3 linked regions of the Neurospora crassa OR74A genome follow. The protein of the gene in region 3 purifies or fractionates together with the protein of the main gene of each other region. This does not show direct contact. Links are inferred from orthologs where the notes say so. Each region holds a gene or a part of one and is shown on either strand. Other genes may lie near its edges.

What was found.
Region 1: the proteins of NCU08046 (region 3) and NCU07954 purify together in Saccharomyces cerevisiae (affinity purification with mass spectrometry; 5 studies listed by BioGRID, with this or other methods). This does not show direct contact. The link is inferred for Neurospora crassa OR74A from reciprocal best matches to the Saccharomyces cerevisiae genes TIF35 and HCR1.
Region 2: the proteins of NCU08046 (region 3) and NCU02810 purify together in Saccharomyces cerevisiae (affinity purification with western blotting; 3 studies listed by BioGRID, with this or other methods). This does not show direct contact. The link is inferred for Neurospora crassa OR74A from reciprocal best matches to the Saccharomyces cerevisiae genes TIF35 and GCD11.

Annotation. Positions count from the first base shown.
Region 1 is NC_026504.1:1,229,290-1,237,029, reverse strand, and holds the start of NCU07954 (hypothetical protein), read left to right. Parts: upstream 1-3,088; 5' UTR 3,089-3,332; coding exon 3,333-3,351; intron 3,352-3,656; coding exon 3,657-4,446; intron 4,447-4,513; coding exon 4,514-4,529; 3' UTR 4,530-5,616; coding exon of another isoform or gene 5,617-7,740. Other genes in the region: aod-1 (alternative oxidase), read right to left, coding at 264-887, 958-1,063, 1,159-1,517; pod-1 (mitochondrion biogenesis protein), read right to left, coding at 5,617-7,740. UniProt on the Saccharomyces cerevisiae protein: Component of the eukaryotic translation initiation factor 3 (eIF-3) complex, which is involved in protein synthesis of a specialized repertoire of mRNAs and, together with other initiation factors, stimulates binding of mRNA and methionyl-tRNAi to the 40S ribosome.
Region 2 is NC_026501.1:9,044,484-9,052,316, forward strand, and holds NCU02810 (eukaryotic translation initiation factor 2 gamma subunit), read left to right. Parts: upstream 1-3,181; 5' UTR 3,182-3,595; coding exon 3,596-4,113; intron 4,114-4,178; coding exon 4,179-5,165; intron 5,166-5,238; coding exon 5,239-5,269; 3' UTR 5,270-5,729; downstream 5,730-7,833. Other genes in the region: NCU02809 (hypothetical protein), read right to left, coding at 6,269-7,090, 7,149-7,833. UniProt on the Saccharomyces cerevisiae protein: As a subunit of eukaryotic initiation factor 2 eIF2, involved in the early steps of protein synthesis.
Region 3 is NC_026504.1:4,016,713-4,024,506, forward strand, and holds NCU08046 (eukaryotic translation initiation factor 3), read right to left. Parts: upstream 4,357-7,794; 5' UTR 4,287-4,356; coding exon 4,261-4,286; intron 4,205-4,260; coding exon 3,950-4,204; intron 3,794-3,949; coding exon 3,145-3,793; intron 2,941-3,144; coding exon 2,716-2,940; 3' UTR 2,202-2,715; downstream 1-2,201. Other genes in the region: NCU08047 (hypothetical protein), read right to left, coding at 5,234-7,588. UniProt on the Saccharomyces cerevisiae protein: RNA-binding component of the eukaryotic translation initiation factor 3 (eIF-3) complex, which is involved in protein synthesis of a specialized repertoire of mRNAs and, together with other initiation factors, stimulates binding of mRNA and methionyl-tRNAi to the 40S ribosome.

The DNA.
Region 1 (7,740 bases), about 2.8 Mb from region 3:
ATATCAGGTTTGTTATTGCTAGATATAGTTGATCATGAGAGATCAACGACCTTCGGAGTGAAGATCCGAAACAAGTACACACCTTGAAACAGTGAACTGCTGCACAGAGAGAAGAACCCAGTATCTTTTTTACCAAAACGCCAGAAACAGCAAAGAGAGTGGGGGGTATCTAGTGTAACACGCATAATACAACAACTTGGTCCAAAAACGCCTGGCTTCATGAACCCAAACCACAACCATCTGTCAAGACCTTCCGCCCAAGATCAACCGATGACCTCCGCCCTTTCAAATCCCGTCGGCTTCAAAGCCGGATTGACCGGTCTCCTCCCGCCCTCGCCCTCCTTATAGTCGCTCACAAACGGATTCGGATCCTCCTTCTGGTCCAAATTGCTCAATGTATGATTAACGCCCCTGTGCACTGCCTCGTCCGCGCGGATATAATGGATCAAGTCCTTCATCGTCCGCTTCCCCTCCGGCATGCGCCAATACCTCACCGCCATCTCCGGGATCTCAAACTTTTCGTCGCTCCACTTTGGCAAGTGACCTTCCTCAATCTCCCTGATGCACCGCGTGTAGGTATGTACGGCCTCCTCCTCGAGGTAACCGACAAACCGGTGGGTGATTTTGGGGGAGATCAGGTAGCTGAGAAACATGGCGTTGAAGAAGACGCCCTGCGCTCCCAAGATGAGCGTCTTCATGAGGAGGCCGGGTTCGCACATCTTCATAAAGGTGAGGAGGTGCATGCGCTCGTTGTACGATTCTTCAAGTAAAGTCTCGATCCAGCCGTTGTCTCGTTTGAGCCGGCGGAGGGAGTGCAGGTGGCGGAGCATGCCGGCTACCATGCCGGGAACGCCGGCGATGGATTCGAGGAAGATGAAGCGGACGAGCTATATGGATTTGCGACATTTGGTTAGCTTGTGTTGCCATTCCGTCCTCGTAGGGCTCCATAGAACATACCCATTGGGCTTCGGTCAGAGGTTTGTCCGCGCTGGTGGCGGTCGTCGGGTGGTGTTTATCAACTTGCTGCTCTGGACGTATGCCCGTCGCTATATCAGTGGCCCATCTGTTTGATATTAGAACACTTTGAATCTACGTCTGCTTCCGCGTCCGCAAGATACTTGAGGGGCAATATGGGAACCCTCCTTGGAATTTACCTACCGACAGATTCGTACGAGTTTCCATGCGAGCCAATCGCCCACAGTCTCGGGTTTCCGGTGCTCGGGAACAACCGAGGTCATCTCTTCCTCTGTCCATCCATGATGAGGCCACGCGGGTGGTGTCTGCCGGATATAGGCGGTCTCTTTGGCCGGGAAGAAATCCTTCAGTCGAGTAACGCTTGTTGTCGAGAGATTGCGAGGTGATGGGGAAGAGAGGTTCGTCTGTGTTGGATGTAAGGAAGTGGCCACTCGAGAGCCCGCGAGCAGGAGAGGCCGAGTATGGCAGGTTGATATCAGGGCACGGCTTAGTTGGGCCGCTTGTCCTGGAGCGTGGAGTATGTTTACTTTGGGGGTGTTCATCGAGAGTTTAGGGAGTGATGTGAAGTTGTAATGGAACTCGCTTGAGGTTTGTGATGATGGTCCATATGTGTCGGACAGCACTAGACACGGGACGTTTATATCGTCCTTTCCTGCCCCCAGTTGCAACTCCTTTCAGGGAAAAATTTGGAATACGAGAGCTGACTGAAAACACCGAGTTTGTCCGTCCCTGGTCTCAAAGGAGCAATAGAGTTCCGACACTGCCCAAGCAATCTCCATTTTTTAACATCAAGACAATCCAGGAACAAGCAAATAGCGGGCGCTAGCGAAAGGAACCCGGAAAGCTCCAGATCTTCAACCAGGACAAAATTTCATTTTGAATCCTCAAAGTGGCAACCGGGCATCGATTGTGGTGGTCAGCTGGATGTCGTTGTTTGGCGGTGTCGGGACCTCCCGGGTGACAAGCCATAGGGCGCAGTTCCACTTCCGCAACATTCTCGGGATTAGCCTTGTACATATCCAGAAGAACAGCGAGCCCCTGAGCAAGTACACTAAGACTGGGGGATTGTGACTCAACACAAAGACAGCCACAGGAGATTTCGAGATCATTGATAGTTGGTTGGTTGGTTGACAGGGCACTTGGGCGAGTTATGTGTTGGAGATTTTGCTGACAGTAATAGCGAGCGGAGGGAAACGGAACACCAGTCGCACTTGTTCTCATAGGACACACAGCATGACTGAGCAATGGCTTGGTTGCTTCCGAACCTGCAAATATACAAACAAATGTCTTGGGCCATAAGTTGCGAATGGCTTCATGTTAAACTTCTAACTTTGCTGTGACGTCAGTGGTAGTTATTCGTAGAGTGTAGGATCGAAGGAACAATTGCAAGTGTCCAAATATTATCCCGTGTCGGAAGCGGGGTGGAAGTGGTGTACAAAATATTGACGACGCAGGGCATTTTCGGGTGACTCCTGGTCCAGAACATTTGGTGAAAGAGCAGAGCTTTAGCATCCACCTAGTTGTTTATGAATCATTCTCTCCACATGCGTTAACAGACTTCTCCAAAAAGCCATCCTTCTAGGCCTGCTGCACCTAGCACATGCTGCTTGACCGAGGCCGTACATATATGGTGCATGCATCGTGCATATACAAGATGTCCTAAAAGATAAGAGAACGAAAAGAAAAGAAAAAGGGAAATAAAGACGGGCATGTTGGCGAACTGATGGTTTTTGTCAGGACTCAGCACCGACCCTGACTGACGGGCCCGTGCGACACAGCACTGACCCCGCATAAAGCCTTCTGGAGGGAAGGCATTGATATATACCAAAGATGGGAAGGAAGTGGTTATTCAGAAGGGATGGTAGCAAGCAAGACGTACGAGGAAGTCAGGTGCTTGGTAAAACATAAACGGGAGGAATAAATGGGGACGATTCCTGTGTATTGAAGACTAGCCGCCCCAGGCGTCTGGAGGTTCTGGTTTTCCTCCTCATCTTCATCGGGCATCTTCTCAATGAAATCCAATTGGTCACAAAGCCCTTTTCCCTGGCAGTTTTGGCATTGTATTAAAATCTTAGACGTTAAAGAACCTTGAAGAACCTGTGAAACGCTGTTGCTGTTTCACTGTTGGTCTTCTAACCCCGCTAACAATACCTAGTTATTTTGCCCACTGCGAACGGAACCACACTCAAGGTGGCTGACCCCTGCTCGCTTTTTCAACTTCTCAAGACTGCGATCGGCTTCTCTTTTGCAGTTTGGACACAACCAACCACAGCACGCAAACTTTTCCTCGTCGCGCCAGACATCGTTGTCGCAAAGACCCGTTCGGTTTTCTAGATCGTCACTACCAAATCGCAAACATGTCTGGAAAGAAGTGGGGTAAGTCTTCCTCGCTCTCCTTGCCTTTTCCCTCTTTGCGCAAGACGAACCCCGCGAACAGTGTATGTCGGCGAAAGTGGGCGGCCGCGATCGCCGTGACAAGGCTGCCTGATGCCTGCGCCGGCTTGCGATAGACGCTGTTAACATTGCCATATGCCTCGAGGCTTCCATGTTTGAGGCGAATTGGACTTCAGCGACGCAGCCTATATATACAGATCAACCAGAACCAACTCTTGCATCGACTTTCCTGTTGCGCCACCACAACCTGTTCGAAACCCAGACTAACTAACCCCTCATCACCACAGACGAGGAAGAGGAGGAGTCTTCCGCCCCCAACTCGCCTGTCCTTGCCCCCGGCCGCCGCCGCTTCGACGATGAGGAGGGAAACGAGAGCGACGTTCTCGACTCGTGGGATGCCGCCGAGGACTCCGAGGTAGAGCGCGAGAAGGCGAAGAAGGCCGCCGAGGCCAAGGCCAAGGCTGAGGCCGAAGCCGCCGCCAACAAGAAGTCCAAGGCGCAGCGCATCGCCGAGCGTCAGGCCGAGCGCGCCCGCCAGCTGGCTGAGGATTCGGACGCGGAGGAGGAGACCGAGGCCGAGCGCCGCGAGCGCCTCCGCCGCGAGCAGAAGGAGTCCGATCTTAAACACGCTGAGGACCTGTTTGCCGGCATCGGCATCAGCAACGACCGCAAGGTCGTCAGCAAGGGCACCATTGTCCAGATCGACCCCAAGGACCCCAACAACACCATCGACATCTCGACCTTGGCCTTGTTCAACCCTACCACCAAGACCCAGTTTGAGACCCTCCGCACCACTCTTGGCCCCATGATCGGCAAGCTCTCGCCCAAGCCGCACTACACCCTCTTCCTCCAGGAGTTCTCCAAGCAGCTCGCCAAGGACCTCAAGAGCGACGAGATCAAGAAGATTGCTAGCACCTTGACTGCTCTCAGCAACGAGAAGCTCAAGGAGGAGAAGGCTGCCGAAAAGGGTGGCAAGAAGAGCAAGGCTGCCAAGACAAAGACCTCGCTCGCTGGTGTTGGTCGTGGTGGTGCCATTGCTGAGGCCCACGACACTTATGATGATGATGCTTTCGGAGAGTAAGTTGGCTTGAGGTGGAGTGAGAAAAGATACGCGTGGGGAACGATTGCTAACGTTTCGCTCTAGTGATGACTTCATGTGAAAGATTTCTACCGATAAATCACAATCGTTCGCTTTGTGAGGAAGAGAGGCCTCGAGTCCCTCTTCCCATCAAGGGATGTAGAATCATCCCCTTCACCAGGTATAATACTCATCTCACCCGGGAAGCATTCGGAGCGAAGCAAAAAAGTAGCGGTTGCGTGTGTTTCATGGCGTAAAAAGAAAGCGTAGACTACCACGACACCCGCGCAACGGTCACGGCACGTCCGCCGTCCGGACGTAAGGTTCAGTGGCATGATGTCTTGGATGGATGCATGAGGGATCAGAGTCGTCATCAGTGCCAGACTGGACGAAAAAAGGAGGATGGCCTCTTGGGGCACTGATCGAGTCGCGACTTGGGGGTGACGGGAAAAGGCAGCAGATACCATATAGCATGGGGGAAAGTAGATTTAGAGTGCATTCAATAATGAAGGCGAGCATCACGTTTCGAAAGTCCAGGCTGCATATCATCCTGGTGTGAGGTTCTCTTATCGATGCCATGGCTAAAATTACAACCAACACTATTTCAGTCACCATCTCAGAACCCTCTCAGAAACTTACACCAGTGAACAGGTGATATTTCCCGACCATGAACACCATGTGAACTTTTCAGACAATGTTGCTGTACCCTAATCAAAACACTTAAAACTCCGATCGCGATGTTGATCTGCCCTGAGCAACCATCATCACTGACAACAAAACCAGGGCACACAAAACACCTCGCCTCCCGCATTCATATGATTCCAGCCAGTAATTCGATCCGTCCGGGTCATTAAGAGCGTAAACCAGTTTCAAATCCCCTCCCTCCTGTTCATAACCATAACCTGCCTGCCTGCCTGCCTGCCTGTCTGTTCCTTCGAGCTCCTGTTTTTCAGAGCCATATAAGTATGTTTGATGTATGTATAGTACAGTGAAATACCGCTTGGAAAGGTATGGTAACCCCCTCACGGTAAAGTAAAGTAGAGAAGAGAGAGAGAAAAAAGGATAGTACAACACAACCCCATATCGTCACAAAACAAGACTTTTCCTCTACCCGCCTGATAAAATACAGGCAAAAGTCTATAATCGTCAGTGTCATATCCAATGACGGCTCACATCAAGTCTCCCGCCACGCCAGCCAGCAACGCATGTACCACGAGACTGACCGTCCACAGTCCCACGCGCTTGAATCTCCTCACCCTACTTTGCTGATCCTCTACGTTTCTGGCAAAAGCACGGTACACCTCGGCGCTCATATCGTCCATCAGCCCACAGTCCCAAACGGTCCAAGCTCCGTCAAAGTCCGTCAGCCGCTTTACGATCCGGCAACTGATGGGGATGTAGGTGCGCTTGGCGTTGATGTAGGCGACGATGGGCCGTACTAGGGCTTGGTTCACGTAGCTCATGTGTGGGTTGTTGAACAGAGGGACAGCGGCGCGGACGTCGTTGAGGTGGATGCGAAGGTCCATGACTAGATAGGAGGGAGTTTCTTCAATCGGGGCTGGCTCTTTGGGAGTCGCGGGAGGGATCAAGGGGGGGAAGTGCTGCTCCGAGGTGGGGAGCTCGTCGTGGTGGCCGGTGAGGTCGATGTCAGAGGCAGATTCCGGAATTGGCCCGCTTTCGAGGGTGGGGCTGTTGGTGTTGCTTCGGCTGTTGGGAGAAATGTTGCCGTCTAGAATCTTGAGGTAGCGGTTGCTGGTTACGGCTTCTTCCATTTTGTCGTAAAACTCGGCGACAACCTTGCTTAGACCCTCCTCAGGATCCGCAGGGAACATGATGTCGGCAATCATATCGACGTTGCCTTCGTAAATCCAGCCAAACGGTCCTTCTACACCGCGGTTCAAGTGGTCAATCTTCAGCCCATCAATCCGTAGTCGGGAGAACTTCTTCCAGGCCGAGGGAGAACCGAACTCGTCTTGGTGGTGACGGCCGTTATCTGCTGCGGACACACCGTGGATCTGTCTGGGATGAATGGTGAATAGTGATCCATCGAATGATCCGGACATGTGATTTGCTGACAAAAAGTCATAAAACAGCCATTGTTTTCGTAGCTGAGGCAGCTCGCAGGAGAAGATGGAAACGGAAAAGGGCCGGAAACCGCCCGGTTGGTGGACGGTGACCAGCAAGTCTTCCATCTTGAAGTGATCCAGTTCAAAGTCGCCAGGGTTATGTTCCTGTCTGAAGTCAAGGGGGTTGAGGTCCTCGTTGCCCCAGACAACCGAAGTCCTGTCAACAACGCCTCGAACACCCTTTATTTCGACGTCTTTGAGGAGACCCTTTCCGTTCCACCATTTGAGGAAAGATAAAGCCACGTTCACGGTGTCTATAGTGACGTCAAACTGTGTGTAATTGCCATCGTCCTCTTCCACGGCAGTGCCTTCTTGCTCGGCGGCTTGTTTAGCAGCAGCAGCTTCGGCCGCAGCTTCGGAAGAACCCTTCTTGACGGAAGACTTGGGCTGACCAGGTCTCCGAGAAACGAAAACATTGCGGAAAGTGATGACACCATCTCCCCATTTGGGCACAATAGCCGACTCGAAGACAACAGTAAGGCCAGCAGATTGGGTCAGGTAGTCTCCGATCCACTTGGCCAGCGTTTCCTGGGCAAACACCGTGTTGATAAAGAGGATGATGAGGGAGAAGAAGGTAGTTGTGCCAACAAGAATCCAGACCAAATGACCGAATAAGAAGAAGGACACAAACGCTCCCCATTCGTCGGCGTTCCAGGGGCGCATGCTCCTGATGGAGAACCACTTGAATCGGACCTTGAGACGCGACCAGAACCCGCTTGCTGCCGCCAGAAGCTCTTCTTTTGTGGGCCGATGAGGCAAATGGGGGAGGTGAGGAAGGTGAAGGTATTTAGACATGGAATCTGCTATTGATTCATGTGCGGGAGTCGGCTGGGAACCAGAACCGGAAGCCGTCTCGGTATTCGGTGGCTGCTGTGGTTGCTCGGACTTTTGCTGAGGAGAAATTGTAGAAGACTTGGCTTCGGCCTTGGTCTCGTCATGATCACCCTTGGTCTCTTTGCCCGAACTTTGGAATCGCTTTCCTGTCTTGCATAACGTTGTGGTCGTGGTGTTCTGTCGTATCCTTCGCAAGAGTAAAGCCTGCCGAGCCAAGTGGCCCATTTTTGCCTTTTGCGCGGCATTGCCGGATAGTGCGGATGCCTCTACCGTGCTCGTTGGAGAGGGGCTGGTGGTGAGCCCAAGGAGGAGTAGGCCTCCGGAGGTACAGCT
Region 2 (7,833 bases), on a different chromosome or scaffold from region 3:
TCTCTCCTCATGTCTTCTCGCCCCCAACACCAGAGCCCTTCATGCTCTCTCTTGTGTTCTGCCTTCCTGGTCACAGGAGAAAATATCACTGGTTCGGACAGGCAAGGTTGGGTAACACGAATCCATTGGCTGGGGGCGGCTGGCGGATGGGGGAGCACTTTTACCGGACTCGACCAGGAAGAGGCAGGCCAACGACATCGTCCAGATGTACCGCCAAGATCATCGACAGCGTGAAGCTCAGAGCAGCACTAGGAGACGGCGGCCCGTGGTTGGGCGGCAAGCGGTCGTCGTCGTCGTTGTCGTTGCTGAGGAAGTCTTGGAGGGCGGGCCTTTTTCACAAGAACCCCTGCCGTACATCTCCGCTGGTCCCCTGCCATCCAACTGCCTACCCTGGAGTGTTCCGAGTCCTCTAATTGGCTGTTTGTTTTGGCTTTTCACATGTGTAGCCAATCAGTTGGCACAATCCTGTGATAGAGCTGCCAACCATGCATTGCTGGGCGGCAAGCGGTACCACACAAACCTCCTCTACGCTCTCTTCTCCGCGACTAGCGACTCGCTCGCTCCACGCTGTTCACACTCCATTTTTTGCGCAAATCATGGTCCCCCAATCTAATATCGGGCGCTGACCCAGAAAGGGCCAAATTCACGATTCTGAGTGTGATGTTTGACCATGACTTCGCGGGAACGCGCGGGAATCACGCGCCGGGGACACAGTAATCTTTTATACTTGCCGACCAGCATCGTCAGTTGACCATGTTCATTAATGTGAAAGCCAAGGGCTGGTGAAGGCGGGGATTTCAGCAACCCGGCGGCTTCTTCAGACTTGTCAATGTCACACCATCACACGTGTGGTCTCTGCTTCCCGACTTTCCAGCTATTCTGTGTTCTTCACGCTTTTCTCTATTTGGGAGCGGGGTCCCTCTGGAACAGCGACGAACAACGACGTCGGTGTTCCGTAACACAGCGGACAACATGGCATGGTACCAAGACATGTACACCGCTAGGACGGATGCAGTGCTGCTGAGTGAGTGTAAGACGGACTATGCAACGAGCTTGATTCAGGAAAGACGATACAAGGCTGGTGGTGTTTGGGTGTATGTTCTGGACTCGCAAAGATCAATACCTTGAATATCAGAGCCGTGGTCACAAGTCCGCGACAGTGATGTCCTTGTTCTGGACTTGCATTTGACAGCCAATATGTTATCCAACTCGGACATCTCAGCTTACGAGTTTCCGCCCATAGATAGCTTGGCAACTTATATGCCGTCCTCAACTCTGACGAAAAATCGTATCTACACCTGGAAGCGAGGTTACCTTGTGCTGCACTTGTCAGCACACAGATATTGCCCGCCCTCCATCGGGTGTTCGTAAGCACAGAGTATCATGGAAGTGCCAGTATTTAGCACATCAACTTGGGGGTGTTGCCACCGGTTTAGTATTTTTAGCCCGCCGAGACGGAGGTTGTGTACTAAGGCTTCAGTACCACCGTTGTGATATCGCCATCAAAACCATAATGGACAGCCAGTTCTGCGTTATATTCCTACCCGCTCTCTCGGTCATCTCGGTGGCTCGGTGGCTCGGTGGCTCGGTGGAAGCACGCTGTTCGGCTGCTGCAAGTCATCGCCCATGGCACCATTGATGCGGTTCGATGACTTGACAAGAAAAATCCGAGCTCAGCAAGAATTCCCATTTTGGGGAGTGGTGCCGTAGGTAGTGCTGGCCACATCATGTCGTGAAACGATGATTACCAAGCTCATTGCAGAAGACAAATCCTCAGCAGTGCGCCTCTTAAGAAGAACTGACAAGGTATTAATAGGAGTGGCTCGGCCATGCCAGTTGTGAATTCATCGTTTGGTCCGTTTGCCCAGTCTCAGCCCGAATGAACTTGAATAGACACTCCCGTGCTATTTTTCTTGACCCCAACCCAGCGATGATCAAGCTCCCAGCATGGTTATGGACGTGACTGACGGCCATTCAGCGGTCAAGCGGATATGTCTCGTGTAACCGGCTGAGTCTTCTCCCCGCTCCAATAGTCATTGCTGTGAATCGGTTGTGGCTTGAATCCTACTAGACTGCTTCTCGAACCATCAGAGACGGTTGTACGCGCTGTTGAACAGGTCTTGGCCCCGGAATCTTCCCGATTCCGATCCAACAAGCATCTGGGTTGGATGTGAAACAAGGGCTTGGGCGTGTTTTGGGGGCCGGGAGAGAAGCGTGTTGGTGGCCGATGTAGTTTTGATGTATATCGAGCATATTCCCAGCAAAATACACTCAAAACATAACATGATCCTGTAACGCTTGCACAGCTGTTGCAGTTACTCCCTGCCTCAGTCCAAGATCACGGAGGACAACATTCGGGCCACTTGGCTCAACTCTTCACAGCGCTATTATCCCGAGACTGAGCCCTAGTTGAACCCTTATTATCCCAAGAGCGATGAGCCTCACCTTTCGTGAAGATATCGAATAACTTGACGGGAAAGGGTCGAATCCAGGAGAAGACACCTCGTGTCCTACCTTTTCGCTCCACAGTCAGGCATTGGCAGCAGGTACGACTTTGATGACGCCCTTAACCAAGCTTCATAGAGTTGAGACTGTGGCCATGACCAGCATCGTGGGTGCTCCTCAGAGTTGACGACGACAAGCAGACTCGGCGTTGTTGATGATGGATCAGCTTATCGACCCGGAAACGTTTGTATGTACGTCGAAGGATGCCGGTGTCAATGGGAGAGGCCGTTGCAGAGTAACGATTGTTCTCAAAGAAAGAAACCGGATTCAACTCGCCGATCGATACAATGTACCCGTTCTCAACGTTCAGTTGATATAATTCTCAGCGTTGAGTTACCGTGTACGCTGTGAGTAAGTTTCTGCCGACACAGACGGGACAGAGGGTTGGATAAAAGTGTAGATGGCGAACTCTTGATAGGAGAGAGGTTCCAAAAGTCACCTCAATGATGTTGAAGCTGAACCGTGACTGAGCTCTGGACTTTAGCACTACACTTACTTGGTCCTTATCGCGCTCTTATCGGCCCTTGTGGGGCAGGCGACGGTCGGGCTAAACCGAAAACCGTGCTTAGTGGGGCAGCGGCAAAGGCGGGAAGGGTTGGGCGCACGCAGGGCAGGTTCGCAGAGCGGAATGTGTGAGGCTCTCGCCTTGTTGGTCGCAGCTGGCAGCGGCAGCACAGGAAAATACCGACCTAGCACAAGCCAAATACAAGTCAAATATCGTCAGAGTCATCCACCAGGCAGGCAGTTTTTCTTCTCAGCCTTCCTCCAACCTTCGCTGTAACCCCACTATTTTGGCAGGTCCAGTTTTACTACCTCTACCGTCCACCAACAACGTCCGCTATCACAAATATCGCGAGTCCCGTTGCGGAGACAGTAGGACACCCACATACATACCCACACCAAGGAGCAGGGTCTAGAAAAGTACACAGCAACTACCAGGCATACACCACCCACTACACAGTACACAGCAAGAGGGGTTGCTTCACCGAAAGCGAAAAAATTACTGCCCCGCGACACATCCATCCATCGACTTGACGACCCAACCTAACTCACCTCCACACCTCACCTCCATCCACCCACATCCACAATCATGGCTACCAACGGCGACAAGTTTGGCAACGACATCGTCGAGTCCGACTCGGGCTCCGACAACGAGTCTCACGTCGACCAGCACGAGTCCGACAACGAGGTCGAGGCCAAGCCGCGCAAGTCGGCCCTCAAGAAGGCCCCCGCCCCCGTCGTCCAGAGACCTCCCCTTCCTCCCCAGACCGATCCCAAGGACCTCGACGTCAAGACCCTCAGCCCCCTCACCCCCGAGATCATTGCGCGACAGGCCACCATCAACATCGGCACCATCGGCCACGTCGCCCACGGCAAGTCGACAGTAGTAAAAGCCATCTCGGGCGTCCAGACGGTCCGTTTCAAGAACGAGCTCATCCGCAACATCACAATCAAGCTCGGTTACGCCAACGCAAAGATCTACAAGTGCGACAACCCAGCATGCCCTCGCCCGACATGCTACAGGAGTTACAAGTCCGAGAAGGAGGTTGATCCCCCTTGCGAGCGCGAGGGTTGCGAGGGCACCTACCGTCTGTTGCGCCATGTCTCGTAAGTTGTTTAACATAACATCATTTGCGCCAATGAATGACTGACCATGTGTCTCCTCCTCCCAGCTTCGTCGACTGCCCTGGTCACGATATTCTCATGAGCACTATGCTTTCAGGTGCCGCCGTCATGGACGCCGCTCTCCTCCTGATTGCCGGAAACGAATCCTGCCCTCAGCCCCAGACCTCCGAACATTTGGCCGCCATCGAGATCATGAAGCTCGACAAGATCATCATCCTCCAGAACAAGGTCGATCTCATGCGCGAGGAGGCCGCCAAGCAGCACTACGAGTCCATCCTCAAGTTCATCCGTGGTACCGTTGCCGGAAAGTCGCCCATCATCCCCATCTCGGCCCAGCTCAAGTTCAACATTGACGCCATCAACGATGCCATCGTCAACACCATCCCCGTTCCTCCCAGGGATTTCTCCATGGACCCCCAGATGATTGTCATTCGTTCCTTCGACGTCAACAAGCCCGGTGCCGAGATCGACGAGCTCAAGGGTGGTGTTGCCGGTGGTTCCATTCTCCACGGTGTCCTCAAGCTCGGCGACGAGATTGAGATCCGTCCCGGTATCGTCACCCGTGACGAGAAGGGCGACCTCAAGTGCACTCCCATCTTCAGCAGGATTGTCTCCCTCAACTCCGAGGCCAACGACCTCAAGTACGCCGTGCCCGGTGGTCTCATTGGTGTTGGTACCCGCATCGATCCTACCCTTTGCCGTGCCGATCGTCTGGTCGGTTTCGTCCTCGGTCTCAAGGGCCGCCTCCCCGAAATCTACTCCGAGATCGAAGTTAACTTCTACCTCCTCCGCCGCCTTCTCGGTGTCCGCACCGCCGACGGCAAGCAGGCCAAGGTCGACAAGCTTGCCAAGAACGAAGTCATCATGGTCAACATTGGTTCCACCTCCACCGGTGCCAAGGTCTCCGCCATTAAGAAGGATGCCGCCAAGCTCATCCTCACCTCCCCTGCCTGCACGAGCATCGGCGAGAAGGTTGCCCTTTCCAGACGTATCGAGAAGCACTGGCGTCTTATCGGTTGGGCTACCATTGCTGCGTAAGTTTTTTTCTTTTCTATTTCTTTACCCCATAACTTATCACCACTGAATAACCACTAACAAAAAAAACAGCGGTGTCACCCTCGAGCCTTCTACCTCTTAAGCGAGCGACCAGAAAATATCCAAAGTTTATACATCGCTTGATTAGGAGGAAAATTAAAAGGTTGTTAATTTTTGGTTGCTCTAATGATGAATATCCAAAAAGTCGTTGGAGGATGATCAAAGAATGGAAACTTGGGCGCGGACACGGAAGGAAACGGCGTAGCGTGGGGAAACCGGGACCTGTGTTTCTAAAAACTAGCCTTGTGAAATTTGTACATGGTCTTATTTTTATCCAACTTGGGGCCGAGGACAGTAGAAAGACTGGTCATACGATTCGTTGAAGAAGATGAGCGAGGAATGTTGTGAAAAGAGGAACTCGTGAAGAGAAGCGCATTATCGGACCATTAGGAGTTTTTGTACAAAAAGTTATGTTTGGTACCGACGTACTTTGGGTTTACCAAGTAGTGGTAGAGGTAGAGAAGATGCCATTACGTTGATTTTGTCAAGGTCCGACGTACTTGGATTGAGTTTATTAGCCAGTGGTGATGATAAGAGTAAACTTGAAAGAGTGAAGTAGAGAAGATAAATACATTGATTCCGCCATGAGTCTTCGACGTAATGACCATCTTACCATTATACTAGGCTATGGTAATGGCTCGGATAGATGGAAAGAGTCCAAGAATATACCTAACAATACTCTTCATGGGACACAGTCGAGTATGTATCCGTACGTAACTCTATTCATTTTTCTCTTTCTAGACCTGATAGTCTATCATACCTATCACAATTCCCTCCCCCTTTTGAAACTGAACCACACCCGAAAAAAACCTTCTTGTCCTTCGCTAATTACAACACCTGATATTATAACAAGTCTCAGTCTATCAAAGTAATCACCTCCTGTACATCGAATAGAAGAATAGAATATAATCATCATCCTTTTCCTTTCCCCCCTCCATTCCCTGATCCCCAACCAAACCAACCACCCACACTCTCACATATATATATACCCAATCACACCCACCTCCCCCACCCCGACTTATGTACTCACGTACTTACTTACTTACTTCCTAACCTTCCTTGCATGCTTCACCAGATTCTCAATCACCCCTTCAAACGCCTCCCGATCACCAATCTTCTCATCCGTCCTCTGCTGCCAATACACCAACACCTCGGACGCCACCCCTTGCATCGCCTCCAATTTTTGAACATGCTCTTTGAGTTCCTTGTCCGTCATCCCCGAAAGCGCCTCATCCGTCGTCTCGCACAGCTGCTTGGCAGCCACTAGGTCGAATACCGGTTCGGGCGGTGGTCCCTTCCTAGCGGAACTGGAAGAGCGGTTGGCGCTTCCTTCTGTGTTTGATCCTGCGGCGGCGGCGACGGTTTTGTTGACGGGTGGTTGCTTGGATGGGTTGCGGCTTGAATTCGAAGTCGAAGTAGTGGTAAGGTTTTGGCTGTTTTGGTTGTTGCGGAAGGCAGCGGCGGCAGAGCTAGCGCGTCGCGAACGACCTGTGCGTTCGTCGTCTGCTGCGTCGGGGTCGCCTAACGAAGGCAAGACGAGTTTCTTTTGTTTGGAAGCGGGGAGGATCTCGTCTAGGTCGACGGGGACGCCGAGGGAGACGAGGAAGAGACGACGGATGCGGGAGCGGATCCAGTCGGGGGGTTGGAGTGGGGGAGGGGCGACGAGCTGTGACCAGAGGGAGGCGGAGCGGGGGTGTTGGAAGATGGGGTCGGTGATGCCGTTGGAGACATTGAGGGTGGGGATGGGGGAGGAGGAGGAGTCGTCGCCGTCGGTGTCGGGGGAGGGAGGGAAGAGAGCGTTGAGGTAAGGGGAAGTGAGGGAGAGGATCTCGGACGCGGAAAGGTGGGTGAAGTCGGGTATTTGCTAGGGGATATGTTAGTGTGTGTTGGACGTAGAGGGAGTAACTGGGTTGGGGACTTACGAAGGATAATGAGGACTGCGGTTGTTGTGGTTGCGGCTGAGGAGCAGGTGCTGGAGCTGAGAACCCTTCGGCTTCTTGGAAGTCATCGTCGTCAAAGCCGGCATCGTCAAAGTCGCCAAAGTCAGCATCGTTGTTGGCCTCGGCTCCCTCCTCAAAGTCGTCAAAGTCATCCCCAAAGTCATCGGCGCCAGCCGGAGCTGGCTCAGCAAAGTCGTCCCCAAAGTCGTCATCACCAAACCCGTCATCGTCGGGGGCTTTATCCCCTGCTTCAGCAAATCCGTCGTCGTCGTCGTTGTCGAACCCATCTTTTTCAACAGGCTTCTCCTCTTTCTGGTCAAAGCTGACATCGTCCTTCTTGTCCTCTTCTGGCTCGACCTTCTTCTCGTTCTCTTGACTGGGTTCTGCCTCGTCGAAGTGGTCCTCTGTGTCTTCTTCCTTTGTATCTTGCGTCTCAAGCTCTTCGCTGGCATCCTCGAACTCGTCTCCTTTCAATGCTTCTTCGGTGTCGCGGTCTTTTGACTGTTCCTCCTCGTGCTTCTCGTCCTCCACCTCTCCATCTTGAGCCTGCTCAGTCTTGACCTCTACATTCTCCTCCTCCTTCTTGGATTCATCTTCATCGGCGTCTTCGTCGTCGGCGGTCTTGGCGTTGTCTCGTACGACATTGTCGTGCGCGTCATCTTTTGCC
Region 3 (7,794 bases):
TGAACAGAGTGGGAAGCCCATCTTCACATGCAATTCATCGTGCTTCTCAAGTCAACAAACTCATGTGGGTTCAGGGAAGATCCTTGTCTTGCTGGAGTGTCGACGCCCCTCTTTTCTCTCGTGCTCCCCTCCTCTGTGACTTCTTCACCAACAACTGCTCGCGGCTCTTCCGGGAAACGGGGGGTCGCCCACTCGGGAAATAGGACACTGGACACGGTATGCGCAGTGCGTGAAGACCCGAAGGCGTGCAGTCAGTTGTTGAGCGATCCCGGGCTTGTGTCTTTGCAATTGGATGATAGAGCCGAGCTTGCGTTGTCGAGAGGATTCGGGAAGCATCTCTATGGCAGTGCAAACAGGAGAACTGGAGAGATAAAAAGCATAGAGGTATGTAGTGTAAATACGGCCTAGAACCCGCTTATTGTGCGGAGCGAGAATCCGGTCTTCGCCTCGTCAGAAAACCCACCGGGAGCTAGGTTGTATCGGAAAGGAAGGAGGAGGGGAAGTTGAGGGTGGACATGATAGTTTCCATGGTTTGAGGCTGGAAATTGGGACCTGGAGATGACAACCAGCTGCCAATACGCAATTGTCGATACGCTAACCTACACACCATTGACGCCCTAACGTCTTGGTGTATCTGGGATCACTATCTGTTAGTATCAGTTCACATGATTGGCTGGTAAAGCTTTGGAATGCCATAGATATTACTAACAGAACGTCATCAAAGTGACGAGCTTTCCCATATCTTTGTTACAGTGTAGTGTAGCATGTATGCCCCTCCACCCTCTCTTCACCTAGTCTTCACATTCAGGTTCCACCTCAACAACTTTCGAAACAACCGGGGGAGGACTACACTACGTCAGTCTGCCATCGGCAGACATCGCCGACATCTTTAGTTGAAGTATTTTCATCACAGATCCTTTCCCATCCATTTCTCTCTGCACTACGGCCTTGGGACCCGACCGAAGCTGTTTGCGCAAGGGGGCCAATGGTGATGCATGGTGCCTGGCGATCCTCGATTTCATGGCAAGAACGCGTCGTCTTCTGGAACGGATCGAGGGAACCAGTCGACATGATGCTTTGACCACCACAACCACATGCAGATATAGAATTTGATTGGGTGTTCATGCCCACCGCCTATCAATCGATAGACTTCAATTAACGGCCTTCAGAGTGTGACAACAGTCACTCTGCGCCAAAGGGGACCAGTACGCCAAGACATCGCATGAATTCAGAATCGTCCAGGTAGTATCGAACCAACAACCTCACTACACATTCAAGTATATATACACTCAGTTGGGTGGTTTTTTCTAACTCTTGAACTTTCCACTCCCCTCTCTCTCTCTCGCAGTGTCCTTGTCCATCATGATGCTCTCCCATCTAAGTGATCCCTCCAGCTCCAGCTCCAACGCGCCGAACGTTGCTATACCTCACGCAAGCGGACGACCCTAGCGCGCACCAACAGAGTCGAAAGCAGCCGCTCATTTCAAGCAGGCGCGGAGCCACTTAAGGTTGGCGGTGGAGCTGAGCTAGGGGTGGGTTAGAAGAGTGCCGTATACATGATGAGAGGAGTCGGAGGAAAGACGGGGGATTGGGAAGAGGAAAAAAGGCGGAGGGAGGAGAAAGGTATGGGGGGTTAGGGAAAGGGAGGAAGAGGAGGGTGGAACATGCCTGAAAGAGGTGAATGGAAGCGAGAATGACGATGAGGAGGAGAAGGAAAGGCAGGAAGGGAATGATACTGATGGAGAGAGTGATCATGACCGAAGGAGGAGGAGGAGGGGAAAGGCAAGAAGGTCTAGGGATGAGAAGGTGTAGGGGTTATGATGGGCGGGAGGCTATTGTTCTTGTGTGTTCATGGTGTTGTTGCTGAGGTTTCTTTGCGCCGAATGTCCCCCCCCCCCCCCCTTTTTTTTTTTTTTCATTTCATTCTCGAGTGATATTTGTTTCTTATTTCTCTTATAGGCAACCAGCCATTTTTCTTTGTCGACATCTTCCAAGACTTCATGATTTATGAGGGCAGGGCGGAGGGATGAACGACTTTTACGGTGATGAGATGAATGAGACAGGAAGATGAAGAGGATGAAGGGACGTGCCGGCTGCTTTGAGAGAGCTCAGGAACTTACGGTCTTTGCGATTGGTCGGTTGAGTTGATGATAGGACATCATAACAGATTCTGTCACCAAGTAATATAATGTTTGATGCCAGGGACGTTCAGCGGGATAGATAAATGCACTGATAATAATTCAAGAGTTCAGAGAGGCTGTCAGCTGTTTTAAACACTGGCATGCGCCCTGAATCGACAAGAAGACCACACTGTATTCTGAAGAGCTTCGGTGCGTTTTGGGCTCCTGTAGTCCGGGCATGTTGCCAGTCTATTACACCGATCTTGTTCAACCTGGAGTTAGCCCGTCATCCATGTAACAAAAGTCAACTATAACCACCTGGCCACCCTGGCCCGATATGCTTAAAAGGCGGAAGAAATCTCTCGATCATGACAAATTTTGCCGCTTGTTCCCCATTAGTATGAACCCCCACAGCAAGAAGAGACAGGAACCAGATCAAGTAATAGTAGTATCAAAGAGTCCTTTCCCATTTTGATGACGCACTTCCTTGTGCAGACCGCATTAGGGACCAAAACATCGCTGCTTCTTCCATCATTCCTCTAACCCCTTCCTCCCTCTCCTCCGCCTCCTCGTCCGTCTAGAAGACCCATTAAGTTTACGCAGCCTTCTTCGCGAACTCAACCCTAAGGATCAAATGTCTGAAACCGAAACCGTCCATCTTGGCGCAAGCCTTGACAGCGTCGCTGCGATCAGCGAAACTGATGAAGGCGAAGCCCTTGGCAAGACCCGTATCGCGATCCTTGGCAAGGAAGACACGAGTGACGCGACCGAACCGCTCGAACATATCGCGAAGCTCTTGTTCCTCGGCCATCTCGGAGACCTAAGCGTAGAAAACATGTTAGCACGAATCAGTCCCGTCATAATAACCCCTCTTTAGGAGCAGAACAGAGCAGCTTTTGCAAGTCTGTCGCCTACTCCCTCTTTCCCTTTTCCTTCTGCTTCTTCTTCTTCTCCACCACCACCACCACCTCCTCCTCCTCCTCCTCCTCCGCGTCCTTTTGGGGGACACTAGGGGCAAACGTACGTTGGTAACTCTGAGAGTGGCGAGATCGTCGCGCTCGCCGTACTTGCCGCCCATCCTCTCTCCAGCAGCCGCGGCCCCACCGGCACCACGCAGCGCAGGTGGCACGTACGAGCCCTTCTTGCCCGCGCCCGCCGCACCCTGGGAAGCGGCAGCAGCCTCGTCAGCAGCACTGGCGGCGACGTCGGCGGCAGCGCCGGCCTCGCCGATGGGGGCCATGGTGTCCTTGTAGGGACAGCGGGCGGTGAAATGCTCGCCGTTGCAAATACGGCACTTGACCTTCTTGTCCTTCAACTTGTCCTTCATGGCCTGGGCGTTGGGGTCCTTGCTCTCATCCTTGGCTTCCTGGCGCCAGTTGAAGGAAGGCTTGAAGATGATGTTCTCGCCGACCGAGGTGGTGTCGGGGGCCGGGCCGGCGCCGTCCTTGACGCTAAGGCCGAACTTGGTCCACGACTTGCGCTCAGCGACGCGGGGGTTGACGACCTCACGGTGGGTGATGTAGCGGATGCGTCGTGTGGTCTTGACCTTCTGGCCGTTGTCGTTCAGGCGGTACTCGATGATGGTCGTGCTGCCATCCTTGTTGGTGATCTTCTGAGGGGGCGGGAGTTCGGTGGAGGTCTCCTCGAGCTCGTCATCGTCGGCCCAGTCGTGCCTGAATGGTCGCGAACTATGTTAGACTCTTACTCTCCGAGAAATCAAATGCATACGTGTTGGGTTGTGAAGCACGCCGGAAAAATGGCAATCGGGGGAATCGGGGGCGTGGATGCAGACGGGCGTTTGCTGTCGAGGCAAGCGGAGGAGTACTGACTTCTGTTGAACGGCAGCCATCTTGACAGTATGTGGTTGTTTTGATTCCGCAGGTTCGGCTCGTCTGGTGATGGGTGCGGTGGATGACTGAAATGGCCGTGGGTTGTCGTCGCGATGGGTTGACGTTGCGCTGGTTTGGCGGCGATTTTTGGTGGGGCTCAAGTTTGAAAAGCCAGGGCAGTTTTCCCCCCCATTTTTTGGAGGTGGGAATTTTTGGATATTTGAGTGTGGGGCAAAAATTGTCTTGCTGACTCGGCTTTCACTCAGGAAATCAGCCCTGTTTGGCAGCTAACGGTGCTCTATCCTACGTACAATATCAAGGCAGCAGATTCGCACATGACAGCCAATACGGCTCCCTACAAACGAAGCTTCGTTCTTTGACAAAGCAGGACTGGTCGCATCCAGACGTATACGTTGAGGTGTTTTGCCCCTTCTTTCATTATCCGCTTTGGGTTGCTTCCACTTCGCATCCATTAGTGGGGGCATCACAGGCATCACAACCCTAACCCGAACGTTGCTCCTCCAGGCCTACCAGGGGCAGGGCGCGGCGCCGCAACATGGAGCTAGCTCAACTCTCTCGACACCAGGACGTGTTGTACATAGTAGGTACCTTTGTTTGCAAGTTGATGGCTGGCACCGAGGTTAAAGTTTGAGAGTTTGAACTCGATTCAGATTTCTCCAAGCATCCATATCTGATGCTCTAAACTCACTGCTATCTAAGTTGGCCACGGAGCCTGCCGGGCACCAGCTTTCTTCTGACTCTGTGACCCCCCTCCTCCGATTGAGAATCGAAAACCACCCCGCCCTTCATGCCCACCACACTCACCTCCTCAATTAATCACCTACATACACAGTAGGTACCCCAACATTACATAATACAAGGTATATGGCAAAAAAAGACAAATCCCGCACCAAATCGACCTGACAAAGGAGATCGTTCACACGTTACGTTCCGGATGTCGCCGGTGGTATAAATGTACCCTCATCACCTGGGTATCCAGTATCTTGCTTCCTGCATCCTTATTCCATCCATCTAACCGGTATCTTGTTTTTCGACTGAACCCGACCTTGAAAAAAGAGAGACAAAGGAAATGGTGACGGAGTCAATCAGCGGTTCGATGGCGGTTTATCTCTATCAGTTGAATCCCCAGGCGCCCTTTGCTCTGCAAGTATTGTCGCTGACAGATACTCGGAAACTTCAGTGGTCGTGCTTCCTAGACGTCCAGAAATGGCGATGCGTTGAATGATGGTATGGCGCCAGATACGAGTAAATGCAAATCACAGCTCAAGGTGAATATGCTGAGTGACAGACTTGAAGTGACGATTTTCTCGGGATTGGAGGAAGGGCACGATTCGGCGGGGGAGCAGGTGGGGGACCTTCCGCCAGCTGTGTCTTATTCCGTCGCGAACCCAAGCCGCCGTTGGCAACCGACAAAGACCTAAAATGGGGCGCGGGTCTCGAGCCCTGCTTCGAAAGTGAAGTTGAAGATATCTGGGGAAGGTCGCCGAGATCGTCACCGAGGTCACTCAGATCAAGGAAACTGCGATCAGGTTCGCTTGACCTTTCTGACAGCTGAGACTGCAGACTAAATCTTCTATCGGCGCGCTTCGATGGGCTACCTGGGTAATCGCCGACGGACGGAGTGGATCTGAGCATGTCTTGGAAAGCCACTGATGATGGAGGAGCATAGCCTGACCTCTTTTCAGGGCTACCATGTGTGACAGGTTGTGTGGGAGAGAGATTCTCCCAGTCCTCGCCGCTGTCACAACGTTGCTTGGTTGCGTCCGGCAATCCCCAAGACGAGAAAAGGGACTCCGGTTCCGGTGCTGTCTCATCAGCTACTTCGATTGAAACACCTTTCCTATCAAGCGACGGCGATTCAGGCGACGGTTGATCCACCACAAAAGAGAGCGGGCGTGAGTTGAGGCACAGAGCCGAGGGCGGGGGTCTCCGTGAACCGCCGCGCATCTGACAAGGTAGCGGAGGAGGTGGAGAAGATGGTTCAACTTCCTCTTCCGGGAGGGATTTTGTTGACCTAGTGAGCGAATAACGCTGGCTGGATCGTTTGCTAGAGCTCGAAGGGCTGCTGGGATCGAAATTCCACGTGCTCAAACTCGAGAGGGGATGAGAGGCGGCGAGACGCATTTCGAGGAGATGATTCGACGTCTGCAGAGACTGTCTTCTGTCACTGATCGCTGCTGCATTCGGTCTTGGTCGCGGTCGGGGTTGGTCATCAAGGGCGGTGAGCTCTGGAATGGAGTCCTGAAGGTTTGCAAAAGAGTCGTGAATAGGCGAACATGCTGGTGATGACCCAGCTGACGTGAGGGCTGTACGCTGCCCGGACGACAGATATGAAAACCGCTGAGTACTGTCCCTAAGTCCGTCTAGCTGTCTACCATCATGAGAGATTACGCTAGCGGTGGACGCAGCCTCGTCAAAGGACTGACCTCGTTCAGTGAAGTCCATATTAATATCCAGATTGGAGGTGCTCTGGCGTCCGTCCCACGCATCACCAGACATGGTCCCGACGTAATCATCAACTACCAAAGTTCTTTGGCTCGTCTGGCTTCGAAGCTCTGAAGCCTCATTGTCGAAATGTGTGTTTCCTGTCTCCGAGACCTTCTTCTTTCCTCCGAGGCCTTCGATTTCGCGTCTAAGCGTGGCCAACCAACTCTCCATATCGGGCGCGTTCTCGAATACCATCAAAAGGTTGGAGGCCTGCCTTTTGTCACCTCGAAAAGGCAGCCGGGAAAGCAATGAGCTGGCGTGAGATGCTGGGGCGGCATAGTCCGAATCGGCTGTGGCGGTTATCTGCAATACCCAGTGACGTCCTGGAATAACATCGCTTACAAAGGCAGCTGAGTCCTTTCCGAGCGGCAAGATCTTCTCCGGCAGACGGTCCAAGGGCCCATCCCCAGTGTATTGGAGCAAGTATCCCGAAATAAGCACGAAAAACTTGGTCGTCCAGTCTAACTTGAGGGCAACCGATCCAGAGGTATTGCGGCGGTGCTTCCTCTTCCCTCTCTCGGACCTGTCAGCTCCTGCTGTCGACGGAGTTGCCCCATCTGCAGCTGTTGTTGAGCTTGATCCAAAAGCGTCGCTAATCGAGAAGATGCCCTTGTGTTGATGCAGCCTGAGTATAGCCTCAGCTGAAGCGGTACAGGCAGGAAGACGGGCTTGCTTGATGGCTTGGGGATAAACTTGGCAAAGGGTTGGTGGATCCCAGGCAGCCAGGGATCCCCTTGATGCTCTAGGCGATGCGTGCCCACGCACTGCACTTGCTGATTTCTTGTGTTTCAAAGTTTGGGCCGGGAAGGTAGATGCGAGAGGAGATCCGGCCGCGGACCCGGATAACGTCACGTCGGACCGCTGGGCTTGGCCATTATCGTTATGCAGTCCATAGGGCCAGTGGCTAACACTGGCGATGGAGGCGCGCAGACCTCCGGACCTCGTTGGTGTATCTCTGGGAGCGACAGTCGACATTCGTTCGGCTTCGGTAGCTGATCTGTTTCTGTGAAACAAGTTCCTCAACGCAAGCTTCGAGTCCCTCTTATTTAACCTGCCCGCCTCCTGTCGCGAGGGTGCCCCTTCGAATTCCTCCCCTTGGTCATGATGATGATAATGATGTGGCTCAGACATTGCTTCGGAGGGAGCCAACCCTGGCGGTGTCAAGTCCTGGATATGTGGTTCGGTATGCGGTGTCGATCAGGGCGCAAAAGTTCCTGGTTTGGGTACTCACCGCCACACAAGAGACAGTACTCTGGCGCTGCGGTGATGTGATGGTGGTAGTTGGAAACGAAGAGAATGCGGGTTGCATATACCCATGCAGGGCAATGGGAGTCGAT